Linked DNA regions of Drosophila melanogaster. The protein of the gene in region 2 purifies or fractionates together with the protein of the main gene of each other region. This does not show direct contact. Each region holds a gene or a part of one and is shown on either strand. Other genes may lie near its edges. The genes, in order: achi and CG15445.

Region 1 (16,647 bases), on a different chromosome or scaffold from region 2:
TACGTAGTTATACCCGTTACTCGTAGAGTCAAGGGGTATACTAGATACGTTGCAAAGTATGTAACAGGTATATGGATTCGTGGATTGCTAGCCGAGTCGAGTTCGCCTTGTCCGTATGAAAGCCTTGATCTCAGAAACTAAAGATCACATAGAGTTTGTTTCCAGATGTCGCCACCACGCCCACATACAAATTAGAACGCCCACACTTTTGTCAAATTTTTAAATGTTCTTTCAATATCATGCATTATTGCTTTTTACAATTTTTATCGATATGCCAGAAAAATGTTTTCATTTCTCGCTCGCACTTCCGCTAGCTGAGTATAGGGTATGTGTTAGTCGACGGACTCTTTCTATTATTTTGTTGTTGCTTAATAATTTAACAGTTTTACAAAGTTTGTTTTACATTTACATTATTTCTTAAGCTCGTCTTGTAAATTACTTTATTTTTTGATGTCTTGTTAATTGATTTGTGATAGCCTTTTCTTATTAAGAAAATGCGAAATAAAACGTAGTTATAGCGCGATCAATATCGTAGGCTATCCAATGCACTTCAAGCTTATAATTTCCCTCCGGAAAGGGTAGTATTTCGGTGAGCTTGTAATTTATACTATGATATGACATTTCATCCAGCACAAGATCATGCTGAAATGAATGTAATATGAATATTCACTTTAACAACTTCGGGTATACTTACGTTATAAGGACAGGTGTGGTTTATGTTGGAATAATCTTTAAAGAGATTGTAAAAATACAGAGCAATCGGATTGGGATTTCTAGATTTTAGAAATCTGCACCCGTCAAGAGTCATATTGTAGAGAAAAGGCTTATAGCCATTCAAACGTTTATAGAGACCAAATTGCACCTGAATTAAAAAACAGTAACTTATTATAATCGCTTAGGTATAAATATAAGTTTACTAAATTATACCTTAATTTTGGTTACGGGTATCTTTAGTAGTTTAACTTTGAGGGAAACATATTTGTAAGATCGGTTCACAGATTAAAGATAGCAATATTCAAATAGGGAAAAGTCCTTATCCAAGGTCTCGCACTGTACGTTTGTAAATTCCACTAGGGAATAAACCTAAAAGAAGCTTTTAAAATATGACATTTCAGTTATAATAATTCGTTACCTCTGTGAGATAATAAATACAAATCAACTGAAAAGCGACGCACAATTTCAGCTTGATTGCCATTATTTCCTTTTAGTTATACACAGTACAAAGGCCTTCGATTCTTTTTAAAATAATAATACTTTTGACTTGCTTTCTTGTTTCCTTTTTAAGGTATAAACTTAACTATTCACTTTAGTGATTCGCTTATTTGGTATATGTTTCTTGCGCACTTTTTTAAATAGATAAATTGGGAACCTTTTTTATAAGTATGGCTGTGCAAGACGACTGCGGGAAAACAGATCTTGCTCATGGTTTAAATATTGATAAATCGAATAAAACCATTTAAAATTAGAGCAGTTAAAAACCATGAATTTAATGAGATACTATTCAAAATCGATTGGTTTTATCGAGAAAGAAACTGTCATTAAAGTTTTCCATGTGTTTCAATTGTAATTATTTAAGTATGCCACGAAAATATTGTGGATGAACAATAATTTGTGTTTATTATTATGAATACAGCTGGCACGAAATAATACCCATTCTTATAAAATATGTATATATTTTTTGGTAGGAAACAAGTTTTTATATTGTTAGTAACAAGTACAAGTAAGTTCCACGCCCACACTTTTAAAGTATTGTACGTTTTTTCTGATTTTTTATAAACGTAATATGAATATGGATTAATATGATCAGGTGGCGACACCTAGCGGAAACAGTGCTGCCCATCATAAGAACGGAAAAGGCGCCATTTTCAAATATCTCATTGATAATATTTTTCATTAATACAAGTTTAACATTCTTTATCTTCTGAAAATATTGATGCATATCTTAAGAACGGATACATTTGATACAAAAGGATGGTAACAAACGAGATGTTATCACTTTGGACATAGTTTCCAATTTCGTCTGTAGTCCTAATTTAATGAGTAACTTTGCAGGATGCTTGGTGGCGTCTCTTATCACGTCGCTGGCATTCAACGCTGCAGTAGGACGCAGTAAAGCAGCAGTTAAAAACGGCCTCATCCAGGCAATGGTAGCACCATTGCTTCCTTTTCACTTCGGCCAGCTTCCTTTGCGTGGCCGAGAGCTCTCTTCGGCAATTTAGCAGATCGTTATGCGCCTGCAGTATTTCGGCGGTTAGACTATCATATGCTACGGAGTCAGGAATCCCACGAATGGGCACCGGCGATGAGGTATTCGAAGTGGTGTTATTAAGCCGTCGATTCTTTGCAGCGCCGGGAGTGGCTGGAGTCGGCGGGCGTCCTCGTTTGCCGGACGCACTCGTTTCCGTTGACTCCGTGCAGTGGGATAGAGCCACCTTAATGAGATTCTCGGCAACGGTGGGATCTGCATGGAAGCCGAATAGCGAGGCGGAATAGTGGGACAACATCATGTGACACTGCAGTTCTTTTATCGCAGCGCTCAGAGCTCGGGAGTTCCGTGGTTTGATATGCGACTGAATGTCCGACTCGATGGGTGTAATATCACGTTCTGAGATGAGGGCCCGGGAATGAGTGCCACCGAAGAAGCGGACGTCGTACTTGATGGGCTGACGCTTGGAGACGCTCATCACCTGGTAAAGAAATTATATTTATGTGTATATATTACATAGTAATGATAATATCGTACGTACCTTTGCAGGCCACGGTGGTGAGCCCACCTGCTTGGCAAATACCAACTCGTGCCGCTGAAGACATGGCTTGGCGAACCAGAGATCCGACAGGCTGGCCTCGTTGGAATACCTATAGCAGTCGGGGCAACGACGGATTTCGCGAATGTCGTGCGTCACATCTCTCATCAGCCACTTGGTGGCATTGTACTCAACGCTCTTTTGCCCAAAGAACACGGCCATGTTGTGCTGCAGATCGAGCAGATCCATTAGGAATTCTGTTAGGTACGTATACTTCGCCGCCGCTATGTTGCGCTCGATGTCGCCCAGACCCAAAATCTTTGTCTTGAAGAGTAGCCGCTTAACCAGCGCCTTGTCGCGTTCGTTCCAATGCTTGGCCATGTACTTGGCCACATCCATGGAGATCCAGGAGTGATGCTGGTCCCAGGAGTACTTCAATAGGCAGCCCAGCTCTTGCTTGTCGAGTTGCGGTGGGTTGTGGAGAGCGGCCAGGGCGAGCAAACGGCAGTGGGTGCAGCGCTCCAGATCGCTTCCCTCATCGCTATCCAAACTGCTTTGTAGTTCGTCCTTGATCCTGGGCAGCTTTCGCTGGCGCGCGCCCTTTTGTTCGCACACAAAGAAGACGTCGTCGTCCCACTCGATGTTCTCGTGCTTCAGGAAATCCGTAGTGGCTAGCAAAGTCTGATTGATGTTGCTATTATGATCGAGCAGGGGCGTTGGCGTTTGGGGAGTCTCCAAGTTCTGAGTGTTATTCAGGGGCTGATTGTCCAATTCGTTGACGGGAAACTGGTAAGGTTGGCCCTTGTCCGAGGGCACTGAATAATTGGGCTTCTCCGGGTCCTGTCGCTGGCAATTCTCGTGGAAGGAGCGATGGCAGGATATGCATTTCTTAACGGCTCCGGGCAAATGGCACTCGAAGCAGAACGGATCAATTGGTGAGCTGGGCAGCCGGCTTACTTTTTGACAAAAGGCGAGGGCCAGACGCTTGGACCGTCCGCCGCCTGCTCTGGCCACCAGTATGCCTCGCTCCGTGGCATTTTTCACCGATAAACTGGCTGCTTCTGAAGTTGGATTTTTAGATGTTTGAGACAAACGTTATGGATTGGACATTCAATGGTTCACTTACCTGCACTCATTAAATTGAGCAGGGAACGCTCTAGGACTGTCGCCGGCTGCCCAACGCCCTTTTTCAGCTTGTCCATCCAAATACGGATGGCTGAAGGTGGAATATCGCTGGCCATTTCATTTGCGTTTTAAAGTTTTCTTGCAAATGAAATCAATTTTTGGCTAACTGGAAGCGTTGCCGGACTGCTGGATTGGGTGAACTCGCGTTGCCAACTATAGGCAACAGGAGCTGCCACGTAGGGGTAACTTTAAATTTACATACAAATTTATGGATTTTTAAATGACTCTACTTAAAAGTAAGTTTGTAATTATATGCAGCATTCCATTTTTAAACATTTGTGAAACAAAGTATCTGAGTTTATTTCAGTAACAACTTGCTATGATTCGTAATAATGGTATTCCTCGATGGCATTTTCACACGGATCAGCGACGGTAACACTGTTGAAAACAAAAAATATACACAACTTATACAATCCGAGACAAAAACGGGGCAAAGGAGGCGTGTCTAGAAGAGCGGAGGACGCGGAGGTGACCCCAAGTCATGGCCATGCTGACGCGATTGACCAGCAGCGGCACCACCACGGTGGCCGGAGCACCCGGTTCACCCAAGGGCCTGCAGCGTTTCCAAAACTACATCTCGGCCTTCTTGTGGCCGGGAACGCAGCGGCAACGTCGGAAGTCCACACATCTCGATCCCATGGACTGTTTCACCAACGACTTGGTGACCAGAAAGACCCAAAAGTGGGAGGAGCTGCGCGATAGCCTGATAAAGAGGCCATCGTCCGGAAATCTGGAGGCGGACGCCAATTGCAATGTGGGAACGCAGCGAAAGGCTGGTAGTACCAGCTTTAGCCAGAACGTGGGTCTTATGTCCAAGGGCATGATGAGTGATCTGAAGGCGCTGCGCTCCCCCCAACTGGGACTGGATATCAGATCCCTGTCGCAGGCGCAGCTGGACAACCTGCTGATGGCCACGTTGGAGATCAAGAACAAGCTGGACTTTCTCTACCTGATACGTCAGTGCATCCGCTGCAACCTGTTGCCCTCCAACGAGGTCTTCGTGTCCTGTCTAAAGTATTTGAGCGCGCAGCGCAAGCTCCAGCAGTTGGAGGCACTGGCGGAGACCTGTCGGCAGCTGGAGCACCCGTTCTCACAGACCTACGCGGATCTGGCGCCCTTCCGCGCCATCGCCCTGTGGAACAATGGTAACGCCGACGTGGCCCTGATGACGCTACATCGCGGTTACGGGGTAAGCATGACTTCGGAGGAGGGCAGGCGGATGGCGCGCTCCGCATTCCGCACCATTTCCGAGGAGACTCTGGCCCAGAAGAGTGAGGCGGTGCTAGTGTCGCTGCTGGAGGTAGCGCGTGCCATTCACCGCGAGCACAAGGACATCTTTGTGGTGGCCTGTGTGTGGAAGCAATGCTTCGCTAGCGATTGGTTTTGCGATCAAAAATCGGCTTCGGAACTGTTTGAGCACTACAAGGAGCTGCAAGAGCTAGTGGAGAGGAGGTAAGTCGCTTTAATTTCTTTAAAAACCCGAAATTTGAATCCCAATGTAACCTTCCTTGCAGAGCCAGTTCTTTGTGCTCTTCATTTCTGGCCCGTAACAATGTTGATGCGGTGCATCGGCTAATCGAGGCGTTCTTGCAGCACCAGCAGCGTTTGGCCTGCTCCAGCTGCCTCAGCTTGCTCTTTAACTATCAATGTGAGTCTGTGCAACACAACCGAATATTATGTAACTCCCGTTTCGTTTTTAGATATGCGCAAGGATCTGCGAGCCTGCGCTGAGATTGTCAAATCCTGCAGTGAATTAGAGATGCCGCTAAATGAGCTGCAGAACGAACAGTTCCTCAGTCTGTTCCTCGACCAGAGCGATCCTGTGGACTCTTCGGGAATGGCCAGCAAGTACAAGGCACCCAAGTCCTTCCAGTACAAGTTCTAGTCCCCAGTTTCCATCGTTAAGCCGTTGTCATCGTAGTTACAGCACAAGTGTTTGCACCATTGAGCAATATTGCAAGCATCCCCATATTGCAAGCCCCCACAAGGAATGTAGTGTCTCTTCAATAAATGTTATTTAATATCCATCTTCAGGTGGCTCCTTCATCCACCATGTTGCCCTCGGGCAGTTGGCCAGGCAAAATGCCGACGCATTCGTAGCAGCGGGATATCAAGTGGTTGCCGCATCGATGTTGCAAGCACTGTTGGCACCGCGTCCGCGATTTAGTGCCACGCTTATTTCGAGCGCAGGGCTTGCACCTGCGATGCTTCTCTCCGTACCGACTAGCCAAATTAATGCCCAAGGGCAGGCTCATCTTGTCGGGTGTTAGCACGCCTACGCTGTGCGTTAGTTTCGCCTCGCCGGTCGCCTCACTGAGCAGCCGCTGACTGGATTGGCCCAGGATTTCGCAGATTTGCAGTCGCATCACGAGCGAAGTGCTGGTGGATCTTCGCTGAAGGCGTCGCTGTAATCTCTGCTGTGTGAGGAAGAGTCCCAACTGTCTCTGGAAGTCGCGCTGATCCATAGCGGCATCGCCTTTGGGCGAAAGTCGTAACAGGATCCATGCATTCACGGCAGCCGCGTTGAGCACAAAGTGAAGTAGTTGCAGAAAAGGATTGATCTGCTTTTTCAAGGGTGCGGGCGTAGCGTGGGCTGTGCTGAAGCGCTGGGAGTGTTCGTAAAACTGCTGACAGGCTTCTGAGGTTTGCTCATATGCCTGGACTGCATCTACTTGGGAGCTAAGACCGCAGCAGAAGACTGCGTCGCCATCGAGCGGAATGAGTTTTGAGCTGCCACCAAACAAGGGTGATTCTGTGGGCCACTGCCGCGGCCAATGTGGCGAATTGGCCTCCAGCTTACCCAACGAGCTTATTTGCCGCTGCGCCAACTGCTCGCACTGCGTCAAGTTTAGATACCGTGATCCCAGCGTTACATTTCTTCCCGTGGTCTTGAAATCGCAGATCAGTTGTTCTACATCCTTGTCCGGACATCTCTGGTTTCTGCTTACCACTGCATTGGCCATGTACAGTGTCCTGGCATCACAGCAGAGGGTCATCCGTGACTTGGCCACCGCGCAGAATGTCTCATCCACGGTCAACCAACTGCTGCAGCCGTAGTAGGATCTGCAATTGATTATAAGGCGCTGCCAGAGCTTTTGGCCCTCGGACCAGCCGCAATTTCCCGCCAGACACTCGGAAATGCTTTCGAATCGAGCGAGCGACATGGATGCTCGGAATATGGCATTGCCCAGCTCCAGGGTCCACAGCTCATCCAATGGCCCATTGTGCCTGGCATTTCGGAACACTCCACAAAGGTAGCTTAGACCCAAGAATGCCCGCAGCTCCACAACGTCTAGGGGTCTCTGGACACTTGTGGCCGTTCTCCGCTTACGCATCTGTTCATTGATATGGCGAAGTAAAGACCGCAGCATTTCATCATCGAAGAGCAGCATCCATGCTTCCACTGCATTGGACACTGTTCGGGCGGGTCCCTTGCCACAGGCCTGTTGCCCCAAAAGGGGTAGATCCTCTGCAGAAATATCTGGGCTCCTGGTCACGCTCCATAGCTGCCCACAAGGAGATGTGTAGTTTCCGTTATTATTTGGTGGACGACCACGTCCTCGCTTCGGGGCAGCTGGCCTGGCGGAATCCTCCTTCTTCAGCACCACGTCAGCCAGTTGGTCCTCGTTCATCAGCATGTCGCTGTCCTCGAAAATCCAGGGAAAATTGCATACTGCTTCCTGTAGCGGATCGGAGTCATCTCCGTTAAAGGAGGCACTTTGGACTGTGGAATCGACCGGCGGCAGCCGCTCCTCCACCTCCATCTTTTCACCATCCTCGTCTTCTTCCTCCTGGTCGCTACATTTAATATTGGCCAGCAGCTCCTCGTCCAGCACGCATTCCATTGTTTGTTTATAAACTTGCAACAAAACAAACCTTTTCAGTCGTCGATAGGTTAGGACAGTAACGTCTATACATATCGATAATTTATATAGTTATCGAAAAAGACATTTAAAACATAAATCTTAAGCTTGAAAGGTTGAAAACTTATAAAAAAAATAGTTTGTTCTATTTAGAAAAAATTATGTACATTCTAAATATAACTTATTTATTTTAAATGTAGATTTAATTTCCAGCGTAGAGATAACTAGTGTATGTTTATAATTCTTAAACAAATTATACTTAACAAAACTTGTATTTATTCTTGGCGCCACTGTTCAAATTTCAAATGAACCTGCCAACTGAACTAACTCCCCAGTGGACCCCCATCCATGATTTATCGCACATAAGCGGCTATCGGATTTCTTTCGCCACTAATTTGTTGTTTGGCACGCAGCAAGGAAAAGGAATAAAACGCTTTAAAACCAGTGCCAAAATAGCTTTCCCCAACGTTCGTTACTATATTTACGTTGTCTGCAAAAAGAGTTTGTCTAATTGGCCTCGATACTACGGTTGTGACGACTGCCCCGTCACTACAGTTTGCTGAGTGCAGTAACCGGGGCCTGGCTGAAACACTGGGAAAACCAGTGTTTAGTGTAAATAAATGATAGTGGCACCCATTCGGACATCGCAGGTGAATCCCCGGGAGCTCAAGACGCCCGTTATTTGGGCGCGCAGTGAATTTGTCAAAATATTTTGGTTAAAGTGTCAATTTGACATGTTATATGTCATGGTCTCTCGTGTGCCAGTGCGATAGTTATCGATAGATAGCCCCAACTTAATTTGTTTTAAATATTTTTAAATTTCTTCTTTACTTAATTCACTACTGTAATACGTTCGTTTAATGTATAGTTCCTTGGAAATTAATCGATTTAGCAAGTAGACCGATTGGAAAGAAATCAAAAATCGATTTGAAATGCGTATTTGAACCTTAGTTGGCCATGACTTTGGTGTCTGAATGACGCCTGCCCTCAGAAAAAGTTAGTTGAATCTCAAAGTCTGTGGTGACAACACCTAAAGAAACTAAAAAGTGACAGGTTTCTCTGTTTGTAAAAAAAAAAAAATTGTAATTAAAGTTCTGTTCTTTTCCTTTCAATATTTGCATACCGTTTCTGGTTGTGTTTTAATGAATTTTCTGTTTTCTGAAGCTTAAGTCTGAGCTGCAATGATCTCGCCGGAACAAGAAGAGGTCAACATGGTCCTGGATCGCCATGTACGGCAGAATATCCAGGACATGATGCACGAGGCTCATGTCCAGGCGAGCCTGCTGGAGAACGAAGGTGAGTTTGCTATATTTCGGTCGAGTTCGGTCTTGTTCATGCCCGTTTTTTTTGCATGTCATCTGCAGGACGCGGCCGTTTCCACTCGGACTCAAGTTTGGACCAGGATTCTCTTCACGCTGACGTCATCGTGGAGGAGGATCAGAGCACCGAACACGGCGCCAACCAGGTGCAAAACTACCACGACATGATGGTGGACAGTGAACACCACATCGACATAAATGGGTCGCTGCGCAAACGTCGTGGAAATCTTCCCAAGACCTCTGTAAAGATTTTAAAGCGTTGGCTTTATGAGCACCGCTATAACGCCTATCCGAGCGATGCGGAGAAGTTCACCCTGTCCCAGGAGGCCAATCTGACGGTGCTCCAAGTGTGCAACTGGTTCATCAATGCCCGTCGCCGCATTCTACCGGAGATGATCAGGCGCGAGGGCAACGATCCTCTGCACTTCACCATATCGCGACGTGGCAAAAAGGTTAGCCCCAACTGTTCGAGATCAAGTGCGTTGGGCGCAAACTTGACTGGGCCGAATCCCGCACACGGAAGTCCTGCTTCCGAAGTGGTGTGTTATCTTCTGGTCAATCATTATACCACTGAAGTTACTAAATTGCTTGACTCCAGGTCGTTGGCGCTACAGAGGAGGTGGATGGCGCCGGTGAGATTCACGAGGGCATCGCCAATGTGCTGACCAACTTTGAACAGTATGTGCAGGGCCCCAACGGACAAATGGTCAAGATGGAGCCGGAGTACGAGGACAGTGTCATCTACAGGTAACTGGTAACCGGTCTTTATGACCTGCTTCCCTAGCGTTAGTCACTTCTATCTCCTATCCCATCCCACCTATGTCCAAACTCCTTTTCCTCTTCCAAGCTGGCAGCAGGCCATTGCAAACAACCCGATGGGCTTTCAAAGTCTTCACTCCTCGCTTCAAGCAACCATGATCGATAAAATTAAAAACTATCAGATGCGCAAGGCTGCCGCCATTGGGGGTTCGGCGGTTGGCTCTGGTGGTGCTGGTGGGTCGAGCTCCAACTCCAGTCCTGCCACATCAATACTGCCATACAGCCTTTTTGGCCAGCTGCCGCCAGAGTTCGATGACGAAGAAAAGCCAAGACCTCCGAAGCGCGTAAGAACGCGGACGGTTGCTGCAAAGAGTCCTAGGGAGAATGCCAAGCAAGCAAAGCAGAAGACTGGGAATAAGCAAGAAACCATGTACTGCTATAAGGATTCATACGGCGGAATCGTGGTGTCTCCTAGGTACAGCTTCTGCTCCCATTGACTGATCCAGAGCCTTAAATCTTACTCAAGTGCGAGTGGCGGTGCTAAGATTTTACTTTTACCCCCAGGTCCGAAGGCGAAGAGAGTGCACAGGGATACGAGTCCTGTGGGCCGAACAGCGAGGAGGAAGTACGCTTCGAGACCTCCCATGATTGGCAGAGCGTTATAAAGTAAGTAGCTATGTGGATGTATTAAGAAAATATTGTAATCTCGGCCTCTGCAATTCCAGAACTGTATTTGGTACTGAGGAAGTCAGCACTTCGGCTGGCAATAATCCAGGTACCTCTGGTTCTAAGGGATCTGTTCAGAATACCGCCATCTGGAATCGCAATCAGACTGCGAAGCGTGACGGTGAGTGAAGTTTGCAGACTTAGAGCTCGGTTTCTTTGGTAATATCCAACTCTTTTACTCCTAAAGTGAATCAACAGTTGACTGACTTTGAAAGCGAGCTGAATAGAATACAGGCCTCAGAAATCCAGACAATCGATCCTACCAACTCCAATCAACAGGACATTGGTGACAATCTACAGGCGGACGAGGTGTTTACCGGTGCCGAAGCAGAAGCTGGCCAGAGTCAATTATCTGCTATGTCGCAGGGTAACCTATACCTATTTTTATCAACTTTATATTGAATTTTTAATTATTTTATAATCTTGCTTTAGGCACAAGTCCAGATGAGCGTGCCAAGTACAAGTGTCTCTATTATCTAGTGGAAACTGCCATGGCTGTGCGCCAAAACGATGACGTCCAGGATGACGATTTCGTTTACATGGGAGACTAGAGCCTCAAACCAAATACCCACGCTACAGATCCCGACTTCCCAAAGTGCCGAAGCGTGTATATACAAATATGTATATATAGATATATATATATACTTAAGTAATTTAATCGAACAGCACTAGACCCAAAAATTTGTCTATAACCCCCATGTTATTGTGTTAATTGAGTAGGTTACTAACATAACGTACAAAGCTATAGATCAATTCGCAATGCGACCGCCCAAATACCTTTTTCCACAAAGTCAATTCACAAACAAATCGACTTAGTTTTGGACCTGACTCTTTTAAACTTAACATGTACACTACTGATACTTAAATAAAACATAAACAAGCATTTGAAATACACATTGCCATAAAATGATGGTGTGTTTTATCTAATTGGCTGATAGAGCCATTTTTTTAAGGTATCTAGTAATTATGTACACATACATACATAAAATGAGAACGTTTGTGGAAGGACAAAATTAATTTTGTTATAAATATTATAAATGTATTGGAATACTTTGGTTACCACAGATAATAAAGAGTGGCGCAAAAACAAAATGATTCGATTTTTAACTATAAAGCTATAGAACAAAAAAAAAGAATGATATATTCGAGTTCCCCGGCTATCAGATACCCGGTACATATATGTGAAAATGTGAACAAGAAATTTCATAATTTTTCTGGGGTATTGATAGATAATTCGGAAAAAAGAAATATCCAAAAATTTTCAAAAATGAGGGCGTGAGTTTTGCGCTGTTTTAGGGCGTTACAGTGGGCGTGGCAAAAAGTTTTCATTTTTCAAAAGTGTGGGAGTGGCATTTTGTACGGTTTGAAAGCGTTGGAGTGGACGTGGCAAAATAGGTCCACAAACTTGTGATAGTTCCTGACTTCATACGAACGGACAGTCAGACGGACGGACGGACAGGTCGACTCGGGTATTGATCCTGATCAAGAATATATGTGTTTTATATGGTCGGAGAAGCTTCCCTCTGCTATTACATACTTTATAACGAATCTAGTATACCTTTTTACTCTACGAGTAACGGGTATAACAAGTGACGATCGCACCTCCAACATACAAATCTTCTGAAATCAAAATGATATTACATTTGACCAAATAAATGCGCTTGTCTAAATTTTACAAATCAAAATTTTTATAAATTTTGGATAAGGTAAAAAGTACATTTCGAGACGCCCGTTACTTGGGCGCGCAGTGAATTTGTCTAAATATTCATGGTCTCTCGTGTGCAAGCGCAATGTTTGTGCGATAGTTATCGATAGTTGGCCCTAACTTAATTAATTTTAAATATTTATAAAATTCTCCTGTACTTAATTACTTACTTTAATACGTTCGATACAAGCAGACCGATTGAAAAGAACCATTTTTAAAAATCAATTGAAAAAATTTGTTTTTGAACCCTAGTTGGCCATGACTTTGGTGTCTGAATGACTTGCCTGCCCTCGGGAAAAGTTAGTTGAATCTCAAAGTCTGTGGTGACAACACCTAAAGAAACTAAAAAGTGTCAATTTTCTCTGTTTGCAAAAATTGTAATTAAAGTTACTGTGCTTTTCCTTTCAATATTTGCACACCGATTCTGGTTGTGTTTTAATGAATTTTCTGTTTTCTGAAGCTTAAGTCTGAGCTGCAATGATCTCGCCGGAACAAGAGGAGGTCAACATGGTCCTGGATCGCCATGTACGGCAGAACATAAAGGACCTGATGCACGAGGCTCATGTCCATGCGAGCCTGCTGAACAACGAGGGTGAGTTTCCTATATCCCGGTTGAGATCAGTCTTGTTTATGGCCGTTTTTTTCTCCAGGACGTGACCGTTTCCACTCGGACTCCAGTTTGGACCAGGATTCCCTTCACGCCGTCGTTGGGAATGATCTGAGCACCGAACAAGGCGCCAACCAGGTGCAAAACTACCACGACATGATGGTGGACAGTGAACACCACGTCGACATTAATGGGTCGCTGCGCAAACGTCGCGGAAATCTGCCCAAGTCATCTGTAAAGATTTTAAAGCGTTGGCTTTATGAGCACCGCTATAACGCCTATCCGAGCGATGCGGAGAAGTTCACCCTGTCCCAGGAGGCCAATCTGACGGTGCTCCAAGTGTGCAACTGGTTCATCAATGCCCGTCGCCGCATTCTACCCGAGATGATCAGGCGCGAGGGCAACGATCCTCTGCACTTCACCATATCGCGACGTGGCAAAAAGGTTAGCCCCAACTGTTCGAGATCAAGTGCGTTGGGCGCAAACTTGACTGGGCCGAATCCCGCACACGGAAGTCCTGCTTCCGAAGTGGTGTGTTATCTTCTGGTCAATCATTATACCACTGAAGTTACTAAATTGCTTGACTCCAGGTCGTTGGCGCTACAGAGGAGGTGGATGGCGCCGGTGAGATTCACGAGGGCATCGCCAATGTGCTGACCAACTTTGAACAGTATGTGCAGGGCCCCAACGGACAAATGGTCAAGATGGAGCCGGAGTACGAGGACAGTGTCATCTACAGGTAACTGGTAACCGGTCTTTATGACCTGCTTCCCTAGCGTTAGTCACTTCTATCTCCTATCCCATCCCACCTACGTCCAAACTCCTTTTCCTCTTCCAAGCTGGCAGCAGGCCATTGCAAACAACCCGATGGGCTTTCAAAGTCTTCACTCCTCGCTTCAAGCAACCATGATCGATAAAATTAAAAACTATCAGATGCGCAAGGCTGCCGCCATTGGGGGTTCGGCGGTTGGCTCTGGTGGTGCTGGTGGGTCGAGCTCCAACTCCAGTCCTGCCACATCCATACTGCCATACAGCCTTTTTGGCCAGCTGCCGCCAGAGTTCGATGACGAAGAAAAGCCAAGACCTCCGAAGCGCGTAAGAACGCGGACGGTTGCTGCAAAGAGTCCTAGGGAGAATGCCAAGCAAGCAAAGCAGAAGACTGGGAATAAGCAAGAAACCATGTACTGCTATAAGGATTCATACGGCGGAATCGTGGTGTCTCCTAGGTACAGCTTCTGCTCCCATTGACTGATCCAGAGCCTTAAATCTTACTCAAGTGCGACTGGCGGTGCTAAGATTTTACTTTTACCCCCAGGTCCGAAGGCGAAGAGAGTGCACAGGGATACGAGTCCTGTGGGCCGAACAGCGAGGAGGAAGTACGCTTCGAGACCTCCCATGATTGGCAGAGCGTTATAAAGTAAGTAGCTATGTGGATGTATTAAGAAAATATTGTAATCTCGGCCTCTGCAATTCCAGAACTGTATTTGGGACTGAGGAAGTCAGCACTTCGGCTGGCAATAATCCAGGTACCTCTGGTTCTAAGGCATCTGTTCAGAATACCGCCATCTGGAATCGCAATCAGACTGCGAAGCGTGACGGTGAGTGAAGTTTGCAGACTTAGAGCTCGGTTTCTTTGGTAATATCCAACTCTTTTACTCCTAAAGTGAATCAACAGTTGACAGACTTTGAAAGCGAGCTGAATATAATACAGGCCTCAGAAATCCAGACAATCGATCCTACCAACTCCAATCAACAGGACATTGGTGACAATCTACAGGCGGACGAGGTGTTTACCGGTGCCGAAGCAGAAGCTGGCCAGAGTCAATTATCTGCTCTATCGCAGGGTAACCTATACCTGTTTTTATTCAACTTTTTAATTATTTTATAACATTTTTATAATTTTATTTTAAAATCTCGCTTAGGCACCAGTTCAGATGAGGAGGGCAAGTACAAGTGTCTCTATTATCTAGTGGAAACTGCCATGGCTGTGCGCCAAAACGATGACGTCCAGGATGACGATTTCGTTTACATGGGAGACTAGAGCCTCAAACCAAATACCCACGCAACAGATCCAGACTTCTCAAAGTGCCGAAGCGTGTATATACAAATATGTATATATATATATATATATATATATATATATATATATATATATATATTTAAGTAATTTAATCCAACAGCACTAGACCCATAAATTTGTCTCTAACCCATGTTATTGTGTTAATTAGGTAAGGTTAGTAACATAATGTACAAAGCAATCAATTCGCAATGCGACCGCCCAAATACCTTTTCCACCAAGTCAATTCAGAAACAAATCGACTTAGTTTTGGACCTGCCTCTTTTAAACTTAACATTGTGTACACTACTGATACTTAAATAAAACAAAAACAAGCATTTGAAATACACATTGCCATAAAATGTTGCTGTGTTTTATCTAATTATTAATATTTTGATAAATTTTGGATAAGTTTAAGAAAAAAGTTTTAAACCGCTTTTACAACGTAAATCATTAAATTGCCATTCTATAGATGTTTTCCCCAAACAATTGTTCTTTCCTAAATTGGTACAGTTAATGTTTCATTTATACAATTATGCTTTGAAAACATATTTCGAATTAAGTATCAAAGCATTTTCCTGAATGATGGTTAGTGGCCTTCGGAGGGTGTCTGATTCGTCACTACGTAAACTATTTATGGTGGTCTAGCGTGTTACAAGCTCTGCGAGTGGAGATACTCTTCAAAGAGTAGGAGCCGATTTTTCAATTGCATGTTTGGTATAATTTCTTGATATGCTTTCGTACATTGTTGCATTTTTATTTATTTATATCCATTAATACCAATTTGACGCACATTCTTATATTTACCTTCATTTGACGTCCCAGTATGTTTTGGTATTTCCCAGTATAATATTCGGTTGTATATACCGTCCCGTTTTCGGTATTTTTCATATGACTAAGATGGTATTTCAACGCCATTTTCGTACGGTCAGTTGCCGATTTTGTTTTTTGTTGTTTTTTTGCAATAAATGTTTGCCCAGCAGGAAAACTAACGACGCCAATGGCAAAAGCGGTCCGTGCATTTGTTTAATTACTGTCTGTACCGTACTCAAAATACTGGATGCCATGCAATACCGACCGCATTACCGCTCCGCACCCGTTGTTCGTCGTCTTGCTCGCTCGCACTCCTGTGGTCGTGTGCACTTTGTGTGAATTACTCGTACATTGCAGCACAAATAAGTCGATTGCCGAATACAAATATGTAAAAATGTAACGCCAGTCGCCGCACAGAAGTCGCAAAAGCAATAGGACACACACGCCACATAGGCAGCCATTCGTTGGCGCACCTGCCAGTTGCACGCTTATCTGAACCGCACCAGCAATACCCTAGAATCGCAGCAGTAGCTAGCCCCGCACCCCGCCCCATCCCTTCGGAGCGACCACAGTTGTCCTGCCGACGGAGGAAATAAGGACATGCAAAGAGCATTTCCATACGCAGTGTGGGTAAGTCTATAAGTACACGGATGAGATGTCTGTATGTATGTACATCTGTCCGCAGTATTTACGCGCCTGTGTGTGTGCGCGCTTGGGCAGAGGCTTACGCAGTGAATTTGGGAGGGGCTTAAACCCCAAAAAGCGGCAGTGGGCTGAAATGTCCATTCAGAAATACCAGGAAACCCCCTTTGAACTTCCCCTTTCATGTTGAAGATATTCTTTTTAATTTGGCACATAGTGATAACAATA
Region 2 (16,647 bases):
ACTCGCGCAGCTTCGCCAAGTCGTTGAATGAGCTTTGCACGGATACGTCCGTGTCCTCCACCCATGTTCCCGCACCCCTTCTCCCTTCCGCTGCCGACCCATTACCTGCCCCCGCCCTGTTCGCCGACTTGCCTCAGGAATTTCCACTCACCCGATCCGTATCTACGGCCACGGAAATATATCCAGCTTCATCTTCGGCTCCAGCTCCGCCCTCCGCTCAAATGAAACGAAAGCAGCAGCGGAACATGGCCACTAATACGAACACGAAGATCTCCAACAATCCCCCATCCTCCAACTCGCAGATGGCAGATCAGTCGCGTCTTTGTGGCCTGAAGCGTGGCCTCCGGAAGACCAAGGATGAGCTATTCCAGGAGTTCTGTCGGCGAGCTGGTATGCGCAGCAAGCCAAAGAACATCTACTACATCAGTGGCGGGGATGAGGCGGAGGAGGAGGAGCAGGAGGATCAGGCCAAGCGGGAGGAAGTTCCGGATGATCCGCATCGCGATGACGACGATGACGCGGATGGCGATGACCACGGTTTCAGGCAGTTCAACCGCATGGAGGAGGAACATCTCTATGTGGTGGGAGGTGAGGTTTTATTCTGGGCAGTTTTTGATTGTTACAATAGATTGTTTTCATTCGAGTATCATTTCATTACGATTATTAAAACTTCTGTTTAATAGAAAAGTATACTTTCTTTCCAGACCATGCCCAATTGGTGGTGCCGCGTCGCACGTCCATGTGCGTGGACTCCATGGGACAGCCGCTGCGCAGACTGAACTCGAATCTGTCCCTGCACACGGATCTCAGCTTCCCCGGAACGGGTGGCTATCCGGGCATGCGAATGTCCCTGCCACAGCCGGCTGATCTCGGCCAGAGTCGCACCTTGCCGCGCTGCTTTCTGCGACAGTCGTCCGATTCGCTGGCTTCCCAGGGCTATCCATTGGGCTCCAGTCAGCAGCGTTTCTCCCAGCTGATGCTGAATCAGCAGCAGAATCGCTTCGTGTCCTCCACGTTGACACTGCCCCAGGTGGTGGCGCCCAAGAGTCAAGTGCAGTGGCCCACGGCGATTCCCTCCTCGCCGTCGAACTACTCGAATGGCTATCAACAGCATCCGCAGCCCATTTACCCAGCTCCAACATCCGGAAGTGGAGCACCTGGGACAACGGCTTCGGTCTCCGGACCACCGAAATTCCAGCGCGGCTACGCATTCGACGATCAACAGCGTAGGTCCAGTTTTGTGAGCGATGCATTCGACCTGGACGAGATCGAGCGGGAGCGACGGCGATCCCATGCCAGTCTATTTGGAATGGGTCAGGTGAGGGATCCCTACGATCTCATCAATGGCACCGCCGTCTAAGATACCCGCAACCACATACTCGTAATCAATAATGCCAAAGAAACGAAGAGCTAGCATTTTTTTTCGGAAGTAAGGTGACAAAAGAATAAGTATATGTCTATTGCAAAAATAAACTATTTAATGATTATATACAATATATATAATAGATGGTCCCAGCAGGTCTTAAAAAATTGATAAACTAAGCGCACAATCAGGCCCACAAAATCTATCAAAAGTATACATACACAAGTGAAAAAAGAGTAGTAAAATTCGAAATAGGTCTTTAAAAATTAATAAATGCGCACAATTTTGGCCAAAAAACAATGAGTTTTATTAATTGTATTATTACTATTTTGTTGCTCTATAAAGAGAGTTTTGGAACCTAAATAGATATATACTTAATCAGTTTGAACATATTAAGCACCTATTCTAGATTTTTTTTACAGGTTTATGCGTTTCCAGAACGCCTGGCTGTACGAAACCTCCGTGCTAGATTCCGCATTCCGCCGCCGGGCTCCATCCGCCACGGCGCTCATGACCAAATCCTCGAAAGCTTCGCCCGACGATCTCCCGGGCAAAGTGCTTTGCGAAGAACTGGAAGTGGAGACATCCAAATGATGAACAGCTGGTTCATTTTCGTTGATTGTGTGAAGAGTGGGAGCCGTGTGGGGGCGTTTCGGGAGCACCAAATGTGCACACAACCCCGGTTCCGATGCTGCGGTGGGTGCACTCACAGGTCTTCCTGTTTTGGCGGGCATTGTAGGTTTTACGGCCTCTGCGCCGCCAAAGAGCATCTGCATCCTGGCCATGGATTGCTGGAACTTTGTACTGGGCGATCTGCCGGCACCCATGGAGGGCAGCTCCATACTGGAACTGCTGCTGCTGCTATCCAGAAGTGGGTTTGGTGTTCTCAGGCCGAGGGCATCTTTGGCCCGTTGGAGGAGCACGTTCATCTCACCATTGCTGCTGCTTCGCGTTACAGCGGGCTTAACATTGGTCAGATGGCGATCCTGTTTCGGAGATGCCTCAGGAATCTGAAATGGCAAATCTGCTAGCCAATTCTTCTTAACGTTTTGCTTCTCCTTCTTCTCCTCCTTTCTGACTGGCATTATCTTGTCCAGCACCTTGTTCCTAGCTTCGGTGATGGCATTCGTAAAGGGATAGCTGTCCTGTTCGTGACCCTCCTCCAGTTCCGATAGCCACAGCGGTGACGACCCCTTTGAGTCCAAGATGGGATCGGGTATAAGTCGCTGGTTGCGCAGCTCCTCCAGTTGAGCCACACTAGCTGCGTCCTCCTTGCGAACGCGTCGATGCCAATCCCGGAAACCGTCCATAGTGCGATGCACCTGCTCTCGTTCCCGCAGGCAGCTGGAGCGGATTCTCCGGGCCCTTGCGGCATCCTCCGATGACTTGTGGGGGGATGTCTTCGACTTGGTTTTCTCCAGGTAGCTGAGGAAACTTTGTTCCAATAGGTCGCTCTCCTGTTCCAACTGCAGCATTCGGCTTCTAATGAAAGTTACATTATTTTAGGAATGCTATACGTAAGTACATGAAATTCACAAACTTACTTGGCACTTAGTAGAGCCTCCTCAAAGCTCGGACCTTCTGAAACTTTGCTATTTACCGGTTTGAGAGGCGTCGCCTTTGGAGGCACTGGAGTTATCGTGTTGGTGGCCACCGAGTGCATTGACGGTTTCAAAGGAATAGAAGATTGGGAAGGTCCTGGTTGAGGTACCGTTTCATCGGGCGGCGGAAGTGCCGGTGATGCAGTGGAGGGCAAAACACTCTGTACACTTGGTGAAGGGCCCCGAGGAGCAGGAACAGGTAAAGGAACAGGAAACTGTTGTCCTTGAGTAGCAGGAGCTCTAGAAACAACCCACATATATGACTTAACACGGAGTAAACGATTTGTAAATTTAAAAACTCACTGGTTTCTATTTTCAGTTGGATGCAGATCCCCAGATACGGGGCCTCCTTGGAATGTGAAAGCATTGGTTTCGCCGGCTGCGCGATGAGCACTGTCATTGTCTGCAGGAACGCTACTCGGAGAAAGCAGTCGTCTTGACGTTTTCATAGGATCACTGTAGATCCTTGCAACTGGGACCAGAGGAACAGGGTGTTCAGAAGCCCCAAGCAAGTGGGCAGGAAGGTGAGTCACTGGCACGAAGGTGCCTGCAACTGGAACTCCACCTGGCGGAGCTAATGCCAACAATTGATAGGGATATCCCAGGTCAGGATACGTGTGCTGTTCCACATGGGTCTTACCAACATTCAGCGCACCATCAGCGGCAGGCTGAGCCGGAGGCGGAGTGCAGATCCCACTGGAAATGAGCGTGGTAGACATCGCCGTGTTCCAGTTGACAGAAGCGGAGCCCACAGCAGCTCCATCCGCCCACATGGGCATGATGCGAGCCGCCTGCTCCGCTGCAAGCTCCGTCTGTTGGATCTTCTCCGCCAGCTGCTGATGGTGTGCCTCGTAGTGCTCCAGCAGCCGGAAGATCTGCTGCACGAGGTCGCGCGCCTCCGCTGACGATTGCGAGTCCCGCTCCACACGCTTGCACAGGGTCTGGAATTCGAATACAAAGTTAGTAATCAAAGGTTTAAAGTTAATACGATTGCAGAATAAATATAATGGCTGCAGCTTATTGTTGTTTTAATTCTCGAGAGACTTACCCGCCAGGAGTTCTGCCGCTTGCTTAGACGAAGCATCTCGGCCTGGTGTCGCAACTTCACCTGGAAGAGTTCATTTAGCCGCACCTTTTGCAGCTCCAGCGCCTTGTTCAAGGAGAGCTCCACCCGTTCGAGGAACACTTGGCCACTGGAGCTGTGCAGCATCTCGTGGATCCACTGTTCGTAGGACTTTTGGAAGGTTGGCGGCTCGCAACTAGCCTGATTCCCAGCGTCCTTTAGCTGCTTTTGCTCCGTTTGGGTGATGACACTTTCATTGTGAGCTGACTTTCTCGATGTTTGGGTGGCTATACTCGCCGTGGGTATCGTGCTCTCCGTTTGCACGGAGCTTTCCCGCTTCTCGGGCAGTGGCCTTTCCTTTTGCCACTTCTTCTGTTCCAACTGCTCCAGTTTCTGACCCTCCTGCAGGCCCATGAAGTGGCCGTGGGCAAAACCCTCGCGGTAGCCCCATTTGAAGCCCTTGTGCATGCCCACAGAGTGCTCCTGCTCCATGGAGAGATTGAGAACGTTGCTAAGTAGTTGGACACAGCCGCACACATCCCCCATCAGGGTCTCCATTCGCTCCATGGAGACGTACATCCGGCCCTGCGGCTGCCGGCTCTTTTTCTGCACCTTTTCGAGGGACTGGCGGATCACGGCCAGGCTGGCCAGTTGTTCACTGTGGAGACGGGGCAGCTGAGGAATGGTCACATCCAGGGCTGGCACTTGAATGGGTCCCAGGTTGGAGTGAACCACATCTTTCTGGTTCCTGCCACTGGTTACCTCATGCTCCTCTTCCTTGTCCCCGGTGGCAATTTTGATCACCGGTTCGCCCGGGTTAAATGCTTGACCAGCTTTCAAAAGTCGCTCCCTTTCGCGCAGCTCCTTCATTAGGAGATCCTCGAATTTTGTCGATGATATCACCTCAACGGGCGGAGCACACGACTTGGCCAAATGGCGGAGATTCTTAATCAGCTGATTAAGCTGCTGCTCCACGGAATGCAGAGATTGCGAGACACGACCGCCCACAAAGACACTTCGGCCATCTGCGCCCAGAATCAGCTCGTGCTCCTCCGTCTGATACAGACCAGTGGTGTCCACCTCGGGACGAGCTTCCACGCAGGCAGAGGGCTCCGTTTGACAGCCGGTGTCTTGCAGAGAGACAGGGACCGGTTGTTCCACCTCCTGCTTAGGCACGGACCTCCTGATCTCCACCAGCGTTCGCATAAGAGCCATCAGCAAGCACTGCGTTTGTCCAGCCAGATCCTCCTCGTAGTGGGCCTCCGCCAGCTTTCCAAATTCCGAATCCGCTAGAGCTTCTTTTTCTCCCAGTATGGCGGCCACGACCTTCTGCAGTTCCTCCGTCTGGAATCGGAACTCCGGCCGACTCCGGAAGTCCGGCAGGTTGCTGCGATGCGGCGTCTCGCTGCAGAAGACCGACAGTGTGAAGTGGCAGTTCTGGGAGTGCAGAAACTCCGCCACCAGAGTGTGCAGCACCATCGCCAGTGGCGAGACGAGCAGTGCGTGGGACTGAGCCATCTGCACACCAGCAGCCTTGCTCAAGAGCTGGCCTGGAACGGGTACATTTATGGTTAGATCGATTAATAAATTAAAAAGGGGGTTTTCAATAAACTTTGAGATGCCAAATAGTAAAATATCTTTCATTAGTTTGATTAGCAAACCCACCGAGTGCCGTATTATTGAAGCAGTGAATGAGCTCCACCCGCAGGTGAGAGTGCATCTCCCGGGCAATCCCCTCCTGGTCCAGCCACTGGCGGAACTTCACCTCGAACTCCTGCTCCGACATCGCGGCCAGTTCCTCGAGCTGTTGCCTCAGCCGTTCCGCCCTGGCATCGGAGTCATCCTGCTCCTCAATCTGATCCTGAGGAATAGGTACGTGCTTTCTGGTAGGCCTTCCTGTGCGGTATCCGTGTGCTCCAACCTCCGGGGGCAATGATGATCCCCGCGTTACTGAACACAAAATGGGATTATCAGTGAATATGAATCGCTATTAAGTTCGTAAAGGTTTATTGTACTGAATATTTTAATTTGAAAAGATTATTTTTCGAACAAATTTGTGTACGTCGGAGTATAAAGATTGCTGGTTTCTTAGAGTTATAATAATAATAATAAAAATAGTTATAATAATAATATTAATAATAAAAATAATTATTATAATAATAATAATAATAGTTATAATAATAATAATACTTATAATAATAATAATAAAAATATTAATATTATTATAAAAATAATAGGCCCACCTCTAGTTATATTTGATGGTCCGCACGGTCCTGGTCTGCCCAGTCCGGTTGCTTGGAGTCGCTCCCTGGACTGCGTCATTCTCCGCCTGGCGGGATCGCCGTCGGTGCTGATCCTTCGATTATGCTGGCGCACCCGCTGTGTCGCCGACGCCGCTGTGGCCCGCTCCTGCTTAATCTGCTCCTCCCGCTCCCGCTTTGCGGCCTCGTGCTTCCGCTCCCGCTCGCAAGGCATGCCGATGCCGCCCACATCCCGCTGCTTCGCCCTGAACGATAACGTTGTCGTGCTCGCCGGCACGTGGCGAACCTTCATGCCGTCCTGAAGGAACTCGAGGCTCGGATGGGATCGAGAGTTGGTCTGCGTATGCTCGGATAGAACCTCTGACCGCCGCTTACATGCGCCGCGTTTGAGTAACTGAACTTTCCAGGTAAAACGAGCACGAGCGCAAGACACTCACCACCAACAGCGAAATGTGACAGGTGCGACGGAGCCTGCCCTGCCACCTGGGAACTGAGTGAAATTGGGGAGGAGGTCAACTCGATCGTCGGGGGTTGGTCCTCCTAAAGGCGTCAGCTGTGTTGCCTATGTGAAGCGTGCTCTAAAAATTAAGTGAAATATATGACAACTGAGTTCTATGAAATGGTATTCTAAGCAAAAGCTTATTTATCATAAGTAATTGCTCACTAATACTTATAACGGCGGCAGTATTTACTGCCGAGCCCATATTAAAACAGCAATACTTCTTGTGGAAGCGTGTATTTGGTGTATTTTTCACAATAATAATATTTTGAATTTTAATTCAAAACAGTTCCGCTTTAAAGTTGGCAGTTGACTATCGATAGATAATTGTCCGCAAAACAGCTGATTGCTAAGTAGTAAGTGCATCAGCCGTACTGACGGTGAAACTGAAATATGAGTTTCTTGCGTTAAATGGTATAGAAATAATATAATATAAATCAACAAGCACAGCTGTGTTTGCCAATGCGTTTTTATAAAAAACCAAATTTGAAGACTTTGACTATTAACGGGCAGAACGTTCATGTCAGTCAGCTTTTGCAAGCGTTTCGCTGTGGCTGACAGATGGCCGAGTGCTGCAAGAGCCGATAGCTATCGAGTTGCAGTTGTTGTGTCAAACGACAAAAAAGACCCAATTGCGGTGATTCCACCAGGCAGAGCTTATCCCATACGAAGACGCAGCACAGTTCACATTAAATAAATTTCCGTAAATAGTTCTTATTTGTCACCCGCCCAAAATTAAAGTCTACTCCACTGCACCCAACCCCGCGATTATCAACGACTGCGCATCGTTCTTTGTTGTTTCGTGTAGAAACACATGTGCAAGGAAGAAGAAGAACCAGAACATCACATCACTCGTAAATAGTAAATATCTAGAGCATGCCCGATCCTTTGTGACGCGTCAGTTTCAGCCAGTTCGCCACAATTTTTGCCAAGTCATCGTCGAAAATGTCACAAAACGACAACCTACTCATCCAGATCCGCGCCCTTCTCCAGTCCGATGGCGAGAAGCTGTGGGAGGAGCCCTACTACTCCGAAGATCTTGGTAGCATCGAGGGAGCACTAGAAGTACGTACTATATGCCCACCACCCCACACCTAAATGCCTTCCAGTCAGTGGTCGGGGAAATGACAAGAATGCCTGAAATACGGTTGGCAATATAGAAATATTATATTCAAAATGCATATATTATATATATATATATATATATATATTATATATTTATTTGTTAGTTCTTTTCACATTTGAAGAAGTAAGAAGCTAGTTTCGACAAGCCGTAACTTATATACACCTTCAGCTAAGTTCATATTATTAACACTTATTTTAGTTTGATTAGTTTGATCATATGATATTATTGTCCAATTAAAAATACTTAAAAAAAAAACAACATGACATTGCACAAACGAATCTTTTAAATTCCTATTATACTTTAATAATTCTGAATTACAAGAGTAACGACAAAGATATTATTTAGTTTCCTTATATAGGTTTTTGATCTGTTTCGCTTCGACTTATTTATAACGCCTAGAATAAAAATAAGATTTTAAACCGATAGATTTGTTGGCGTGTGAAAATGTGATTGCTTTCTTGAATTATTATTTATTTTTCAATAAATAGAGGTTGAGGGATTTTAAAAATAAAGTAAGACCAATAGTAGTCAAAAGAATAGCACATTACCAGCATTCATACTCAGGAACTCAGTAGCTTTGGATTAATATAATATATAATATTTTATTCTATAATAAGATGTGTATCCATTTCATTAAAGAACCTGGCGCAGAAGTACTCCGGCATGTTGGGCATCGATATAGGTCGCTGCAAGTTCTTTTTGACCGAGCTGCAGGAAAATGCTCTCCGTACGCTGGCCGCCCGACGTGAGTTCAGCACCACAGGAATTGCCACGTTGAAGGTTCGCCGCGTTGGCGAGCACAGCGGTGCCACAATGGTGGAAGTGAAGTGCAGCTTGGACATCGTGGGCTCCGAACTCCAGGCATGCATAGCGAAGAAACTGGAAGTGCCGAATGCTGCGCACGTCAAGTGCATCGCTGCCGGCAAAGTGGTGTCCGCCAATGCCACTTTGGCCGACCAGCAGTTGAAGAACAACCAGCAGTTGATTGTCATTGTGGGCGATGGGGATAATTCTGGCGAAGCCCTGTACGAAAGGATCAATCGCATCAAGGCCGATGTGGAGGCGGTGGTGTCCTCGAAGAATAACCTAATAGAGGTGAGTAAATCGGAAGGAAAGTTGCTTAGGTTGTTGTTTAGAAGGTTTTTTAAATCACACCACTTGTTTGTATTTTCGTGTCATGCCCAGATGGAGGATCAGAATGGCAGCCAAGTGTATTTGCCGCCTTCCGAGCATAAAGCCCTGCTCATGGGTTTGGGATTCTGTGAGAAGGCCCGTGCGGCCATGAATCGCAAGCATTTTGAGGAGGCTCTGCTCCTGCTTTTGGAGGCCGACGAGCATTTTTCTACCTGTGGCTCAAAGTTTCTAGAGTCCGTGGATAACTATGCTTTGCTGAACCTCGACATAGTGTGGTGCTATTTTTGCCTGAAGAACGTTACCCAGCTCCCGGATGCTGAGCATCGCTTGGCCCGCTGCAGTCGCAATTTCGGCATCAGCTATGGCGACAATTTGGAGAGGCTGTACTCCTTGAAGGGCAAGGACTGTCCCGAGAGGGCTTTAATTATGCGGCTTAAGTTGCTCCAGGGCGTGATCTTCTTCCACCAGAATCTTCGCAATCAGGCATTTGAGTGCTTCGAAGCGGCTAAAACTCTGCTAAATGAACTAAAGATCAACAACGACCAACTGGCTCTCCTGGTCGATATGGGCTTCGAGCCCTCCGAGGCTCGTATGGCCCTGCGCTCCTGCAAGGGCGGCACCGCCGTCGAACAGGCTGTTCAGTTTATTCACGAGCGTCGTCAGCAGCTCAAGAATGCACGCATGAAATATAAAGCGTCCGAGCGTGCTATGGAGCGCCGCCTGAAGCGCTCCAATTCCAAAGATTGCACCTGGGTGAATCCCCGCAGTGTCTGCAGCCTTGCTGACATGGGATTCGAGAGCGGACTGGCCACTATCGCCTTGCAGCGCTCTAATAATGATATCCTCCAAGCGGTAAGTGTGGCCAAGAATATATTCAATGACATGAATTGATCAGTATGTTTTAACTATAATCTCATGGATGTCACGTGTTTGTAAACTATAAAATAATAGAAATATTTTTTTCTTAGGTGGAACTGCTGCAGACAGAATCGGACGAACTTACTGGTGCTTCGCCATGGTTTCCGGTCACCGTAGACACGACCAAACTGGCTCAGCTTCTGCAACTGGGATTCAACGAGAACGACTCGCGCGTGGCCCTACAGAATGCATCAAATAACATGGAAGAGGCCATCGAGAGTCTGATGTGCGCCATAGAGAGCGAGGAGGAGCTGAAAGCGATTTTAAAGCACGTTGGGCGTTTGGCCGAAAATGGTGGGCAAAATCTTGACGGCCCCTCTACTTCGAACGCCTCCGGGCAGACGCAAGTTGCTTTGCCAGCGCCCATTATCGAAGCTGTTATCAATCATGCTCGCGTCGAGATTGAAACGTACAAGGCCTACGAGCGCTTTAACTCCGACCTCAAACTGAGCGACCTGGAATACCTGGACTTGCCACTTATCCAGGAGGAGAAGATCCTGACTGAGTATTTCAATATGCTGCAGCAGTAGCTTGTATTTGACTTGCCTTTTTTATATCTATACAAAAAAATATAGAAACCCGAAACCGGTTGTCAAGATAACTGTAATCATGACTTGTCTATATTGCAAATCGTAGTCTTATAATGGCACTTAAGTGGCATTCAGCTCCCCTCCCGGCTGCTGTTTGTCCAACTAGGCAAATAGTAAAATATAGAGATTTATAAGTACATGCCTTCTATTGACAACTGCAAAATGTGATTGCGCCGAGCCAGCGGGAGAATTCACCTTTTGGAGCCACCTGAAACTTGTTAGCGCCTCTGGTCATTGCTTATTTTTTTTTTATCGTTTGTTTTTTTTTTTGTCGCTTGACTCTCGACCCCGGCTCGGACGGCGGCGCTTGATTGGGTTCAGTCGTGACCTTGTCGAGGCCAAAGGGCGCCGCTCACTAAGCTCATCCCGTCGACGAATTGAGCGGAACTTACACGATTTGCTGTAAGTATTTGCTTTGCTTAGCAAAGAATTTATTTATTTATTCAAGTAGCACCAAGACTAAATATTATAAGTCAACTAATTGGTTTTCTATATGTATGTACATACATATGTGTAAAATAGTAATTTTCTATTTATACACGTTACTCGCAGAGTGAATAGTATGTAAAATGTTGTCTTGTACAAATTGGCACGGTGCCATAGGATTAAAGTATCCTGCGGCAAATGTGTTGCAAACATGTGTTTTTACATCCTTGTTGGGCGAAATGAAAAATTTAGCAACTGGATTTTTTTTTCCGTAAAAGTATTTGCTCTCATGAAATTAGGTGTGATAGGAAAATGAATTTGGTAGTTATCATACTCTTCAAATATCTGAAAATGTCCTATATCGTACAGTCTGTGGCTATACTTGTGTTTATTTTATAGTGCTAAGCTAAGACACGTGATATATACATAAAAATATAATTTGAAGAAACAAAACTTTATATCTGAAAAAATTATATTAAAGCAAGAATCCAAATCGAAGTAGAATGGTTAAATTGCCAATAGATAGTTCACGATTCTCGATTGGCAATCAGTCATTCACCTATTGGAAAGAGCCAGCACCACTTGGAACCCCCATTTACCCCCAACAACCCTTCTCCAAGTGAAGGCGGTCGCATGCGTGCCTCAAGTGGGAGTGAATGTCGGGTGTTAAGGTAGCACGTGGAAGCCAGTAGCTGACTCAAGCCACTAGGCATCCACGTACACTTATTCCGGAGCAGTTTATAATAATGGCTTGGGCTTAATGGAAATCGGCAGTGAATGAACCCCATCACTGAACCCGGAATGATTTCAAGGAGACTGTAAATTGCACCTATTGTAATTTGCGAACGGTTTTTAAAAACGAGGGCAAAATATAATTAATACATTTTTGAGGTTCTACTAATAAGATTATAGAACTAAAGTATACTCTTGAGCGACATGTCCGTGTCTTGTAAGATTTGCAAAAAAAAAAAAATATATATATATTACACGGCATATAGTCTGTAGTATGTATATAGTATATATAATTCCACCTTATACGTTGATGCGATTTTGGCCTATGAAATGATTAAGACCTGAGTGAACCCAAATCCACTGAACCCGAAATGATTTAAGCTTATAAAAAATTTAAACTCCAAAACAATGCCTATCTGAAGTATTTAAATGTTTCATAAATACGTTTCTAATCTTGTAATTGTATCTAGAGAATTACACTATGGATTACTGACGTGTGCTCTTTTGTCTCGAGCTTGTTTTTAAATTATAATTACTTTAGCTTAACTTTTTGCCACTTTAGTTCCCAGTTTCTATATTGTCATCGCTAGTTGGCCGTTTTAGTTGCTCGCTTCGCTTTATTCCGATAAACAATTTCATAATTCGTATATATAGTTTTAATTTCAGCATTTTTAACGTTTAGTCTTTTTGCGATTTTTGCCATAATGACTTTGGACATTACGCGCAACTGATACGCAGCCAAGCGAATCTGTTGGACATTTGAACATTTGAGCGTGGTCTGGGCCCGTGGACATGGACATGGAGAACCGACTCAGAATGAGAATGGTTCTGGTTGGCCTAATTCCGGGGGTGGAGCGGGGACACGGGCTTCTGGACGGCGACATGGCGAATTTGAATTCGAAAGCACTTGACAGTTGTATGCACTCTCTTTCAGGAATTTCCACTTGTCACCCGGTGTCCAATTTCCAATGGAGGAATCGCTGCGATTTGCATTCTGTGATTAAACCGGTTCAGACGCACTGACTCCGGCGGATTTGCTTCATTGTTAGTCGCAAATTGATTAAATTTCCTGTTTTGAGAAATTCTTAGTGCAATTTACTTTACCTTACATACTTACTAAAAAATATTTATATTTGATTTACACCTGTTTTGCCCGTCATTTTGTACAAGCATGGGTAATACCCCTGATTATCTAATTTAATTGCATTAACATTTAACATACCAAACACTTAAACCAAATACACATTAAATTAAAAATTAATTTATTAAAATTATTTCATGGTGAATTGCAAAACTAACACTTATTCGATTTCACTTCAAAATCAATTAATATTTATTTGACAAGTCGGGAACTGACTATTCATATGTATTTTTCAAAGAGATTTGAAGGTTAGGTTTATATATATCTATTTTGACCTTAACAGAATCTGTAACTTCATCCGGGGATCGTTAGATGTGTCAACTCATTCTCGTGTTTATATCATTCTTGGGTTCCGATCCATTAGCGCAATCCAGGTACAAAGTACGAGCGTTATAGCCCTCTTTACACGGCCGACTGGGTCTCAAAAGTGGCACTAATTCGTGGATTCAGTGTTTCGGGAAGGGTTTCCTATATAGTTTTGGCATTTCATTGGATATAAGTACAGTTGTGCGATGGGCCAGGGCTGCAATTAGTACTTCCCGAAAATACAGGCTAATTAAAACCAGCTTTGCTTTCTGCTGCGTGTCACGCACACTCAACTGGGAAACAAAAGAACAGTTAGAAGAAGCATGGGTGTATTACCAAAAATCCCATTGTTATTCAAACATTACGCGAACTCTTATGGCCTACAAATCGAAGCATGTTGGGTGTAAGTAGATCAAAAGATATGAGGAATCCAAGGTAAATTAAAAGGTATCTATAGGAACAATAATCAGCGACTTTCTACGAATACAAACATTCCATTAAAGAATATTCTTCATTTGGCTTTATTTCAATCTTAGAATTATTATTTGAATTCAAACATTACGTTCAGCAAATACTAAATAAAGTTTCACTTAATTTCACCTTTTAACTGGAAGAATGGAATGAAGAAAGGAACATTTTGTTCCTCAGATCACGTCCCTTGTGTGCGCCCATGCTCCGAGCTGGCAACATGTTGCCGGTGCGATGGCCGGGAGCAACTTGTTGCCGCCCACACGCAACAACAACGAAGTTGGAAGTTGGCGATCGACGTCGACGATCGTTTTTTTTTTCTTCAACGTCGGCATCGGCGGCAAACTGGCAGCGGAATTAAATAATTTTCCGTAAGCGCGTTTAGTCAAGCTCAGTTCAATTGCGGCCAGCTTTGTTGGCGGACGTTTCAGGCAGCACTCTATACACTGTAACCAAAGGCCAAGTAGTAACGAAAACTGAAGCAAACTACCGAAACATTCTTATTTTTTAACTGTGCGAACTGTGCGAGCGGGAGGCAACACCCAAAGACAACACTCGAAGTGAAGAGTAAAACTCGAAAAGAAAATATACATATAAAAAGACGTGTGCAGTAAACAGTTGCAGTGACCGAAAAACCTTAAAATCAAAAAAAAATAATAATAACAAAGAAACACTAACGAAGAAGAACCAGCAGCAGCAGCAGCAGCAGCAGCAACTTGTTTAGCGGGGTTAGTAATTTTAGTTTTCTCAGCTGTTTTTACCAGCTTCCTAAATAGGTACGTAGTTATATTTATTTGGGTACTTGCTAAATCAAAGCAGCAACAGCTGTTTTCAATCGCGGTCACTTTCAATTTCGGTGCACTGAAAACAATGGCCCACCACTATTTTAAAAATTGAAAAGAAAAAATCGATAATTATGTTATTATTGATTATGTTTATTAGTAAATTGAAATGGAAGTGCAATGTCGAAATATTTAACTAAGTACATTCAACTTTTTGTATGTATGAGCAATAGCTTTTTGGATGAATAAGTATGACAAGGACCAAGTCGCTTCTCTCAGTGTTGGTTCGAGTTTCTGGTCGGTATCTGACGTTTCTGGTTTTTGAGGTTTCTCTGCACGTTTTTCGGCGCTGTTGTTTTGAGTGCGTCTCAAAAAGGGCTGGACAAAACAAGAAGTGCGGAGCAAAACAAAAGCGCTGGACAAATTATCCATTCGAAAAACAGTATTTAACACAACCACAAAAGCTGTAGATTTATGTATGTAGTTAAAGCCAAATTGGCAGCACAAAAGGAGGTGGCGAGAGCAACAACAGCAACAAGCGATGAAAGCGAAAACGCATAGGAAAAGGCAAACAAAAGGAGGCGTAAATACCCTAAATTATAAGAAGTTGTTTGTAGATCCTACGCAAATAAGTTCACCACTTGCAGTAAAAATTCAAAACATTTCAATTGGAAACATTTATATTAAAAAAACATTTATTAATTGCTCGTTGCAATTCATTTTGGTAGCTTAGGAATTATATTTGTTCCACCTTTCCTATTGAAAAACAGCCAAATTTGAGCTCTATTAAAATCTCAACCATTTCAACTTAAGGCGGTGCGCTTTGCTAATCCATGAGATCTGTAATGTGCATAGCCAAGTAATTATCACGGAGTGTTGTACGGACATTTTCCCTGGAGGGTATCCGTCATGGTTTTTTCCGGCTATCGCATCTAAAGTTTAAAAGTTACAAAACTTCAACGTGAGAGATTTTTAACAATTCGCCATATGAACCACGAGGGGGCGAAGAACTAACTGCAGGTGTGTAAGCATCTCAGATGCACTTGGATATATGTACATATGTACATACATATATTGGTAGTATCTTTGGAAATGTGATGAATGATAATTTCAAAAAAACTCTGGTATTTTCAAAGGATACCTCTTGTTCTATATGGTATAGTATAGTACAATCTTATTCTTATTGAAAAGTCTCTTGCCGATGTATGTAGTCTTATATAATTTTTGACTTGCGAGGTAAACAGTTAAGGGTCTGAAGCATTCTTACTGTCAAGAGAGAGAGCAGAAATGCATTATTTATTTGTGATAAATATAATTGACCAAGCATTCCTCTTGCTACCCATTACTCGTGGAGTAAATGGGTATATAAGGTTCGTTGAAAAGTATGTAACAGGCAGAAGGAAGCGTTTCCGACCTTATACGGTATATATGTACATATGTATGTATGTATATGCCTGATCTGTCTGTCGATCTCAGGATCTATTGAAGCTAGAGTGTTGAGAATTCCAGTGTCACGCCCACTCGACCGCCCGCTTAATACCGCTCCAAACTGCAACGCCCACACTTTTAAAAAATGTTATTTCTATTAACTTTTTTCCCCGCAATTTCTACCGATATTCCACTTTCAATCTTTCACTTTACGAGCTGAGTAACGGGTATCTGATAGTGGGGGAATTCGACTACAGAATTCTCTCTTGTTTTAGCTGGGTATGCGGAAAAGAGGAACAGATTTGAAATGCCATTCAAATTAGGGATATTTTCGAGCAGGATAGTAGGAGGAGTAGTGAGTTGGCCCATAGCTTAGTTGGCATTCTGGATTCGTCTTCCGTTTCCTGAGCGTCTCGCGATTATCGACGGCATTAACATAAAATCTTTTAGCATTCCGCCACCAGAGGCACTGAGTGTTATTATCAGACTGGTTATTTATCAAGACTTAATTGCATTGCAAGTTTTTGCACATGTAAGCAGCGACCTTGCTGGCTGCTGATCGGGCTAAAAGCAAAAATCAAAAAGCAACAACTTATAAATAAATAAATAAAAAGTGAGCAGCGTTTCCTATGGCCAGCCGAATGGGTTTTATAAATAAAATACGAGCATGCGGCAGAATCTACATCTGATTGGGCATATAATTATAGCCAAGTCTGCTCCGGTTCTTGCCGACTCATGCTGATCGGTTGGTCGATCGGTCGACTGGATGTGATTCAAGTTGAAGTTGGCTCAAAAATCGAAAATCAATA

Evidence for each region.
Region 1: the proteins of CG15445 (region 2) and achi purify together in Drosophila melanogaster (affinity purification with mass spectrometry, with the first as the bait; 2 studies listed by BioGRID). This does not show direct contact.

Annotation. Positions count from the first base shown.
Region 1 is NT_033778.4:12,506,571-12,523,217, reverse strand, and holds achi (achintya), read left to right. Parts: upstream 1-8,155; 5' UTR 8,156-8,442; intron 8,443-8,819; exon of another isoform or gene 8,820-8,874; intron 8,875-8,956; 5' UTR 8,957-8,973; coding exon 8,974-9,088; intron 9,089-9,156; coding exon 9,157-9,650; intron 9,651-9,709; coding exon 9,710-9,858; intron 9,859-9,958; coding exon 9,959-10,345; intron 10,346-10,434; coding exon 10,435-10,536; intron 10,537-10,595; coding exon 10,596-10,717; intron 10,718-10,783; coding exon 10,784-10,963; intron 10,964-11,028; coding exon 11,029-11,147; 3' UTR 11,148-11,684; downstream 11,685-16,647. Other genes in the region: CG8569 (uncharacterized protein), read right to left, coding at 2,034-2,687, 2,748-3,805, 3,871-3,985; CG8818 (uncharacterized protein), read left to right, coding at 4,411-5,381, 5,444-5,577, 5,630-5,814; CG13151 (uncharacterized protein), read right to left, coding at 5,960-7,774; vis (vismay), read left to right, coding at 12,779-12,893, 12,952-13,352, 13,499-13,647, 13,748-14,134, 14,224-14,325, 14,385-14,506, 14,573-14,752, 14,831-14,949.
Region 2 is NC_004354.4:21,109,764-21,126,410, forward strand, and holds CG15445 (uncharacterized protein), read left to right. Parts: upstream 1-7,397; 5' UTR 7,398-7,641; exon of another isoform or gene 7,642-7,699; 5' UTR 7,700-7,732; coding exon 7,733-7,852; intron 7,853-8,552; coding exon 8,553-9,008; intron 9,009-9,098; coding exon 9,099-9,899; exon of another isoform or gene 9,900-9,984; intron 9,985-10,015; coding exon 10,016-10,495; 3' UTR 10,496-10,681; downstream 10,682-16,647. Other genes in the region: stg1 (stargazin-like protein), read left to right, coding at 1-588, 705-1,360; unc (uncoordinated), read right to left, coding at 1,780-2,845, 2,908-3,204, 3,268-3,905, 4,013-5,577, 5,693-5,977, 6,271-6,580.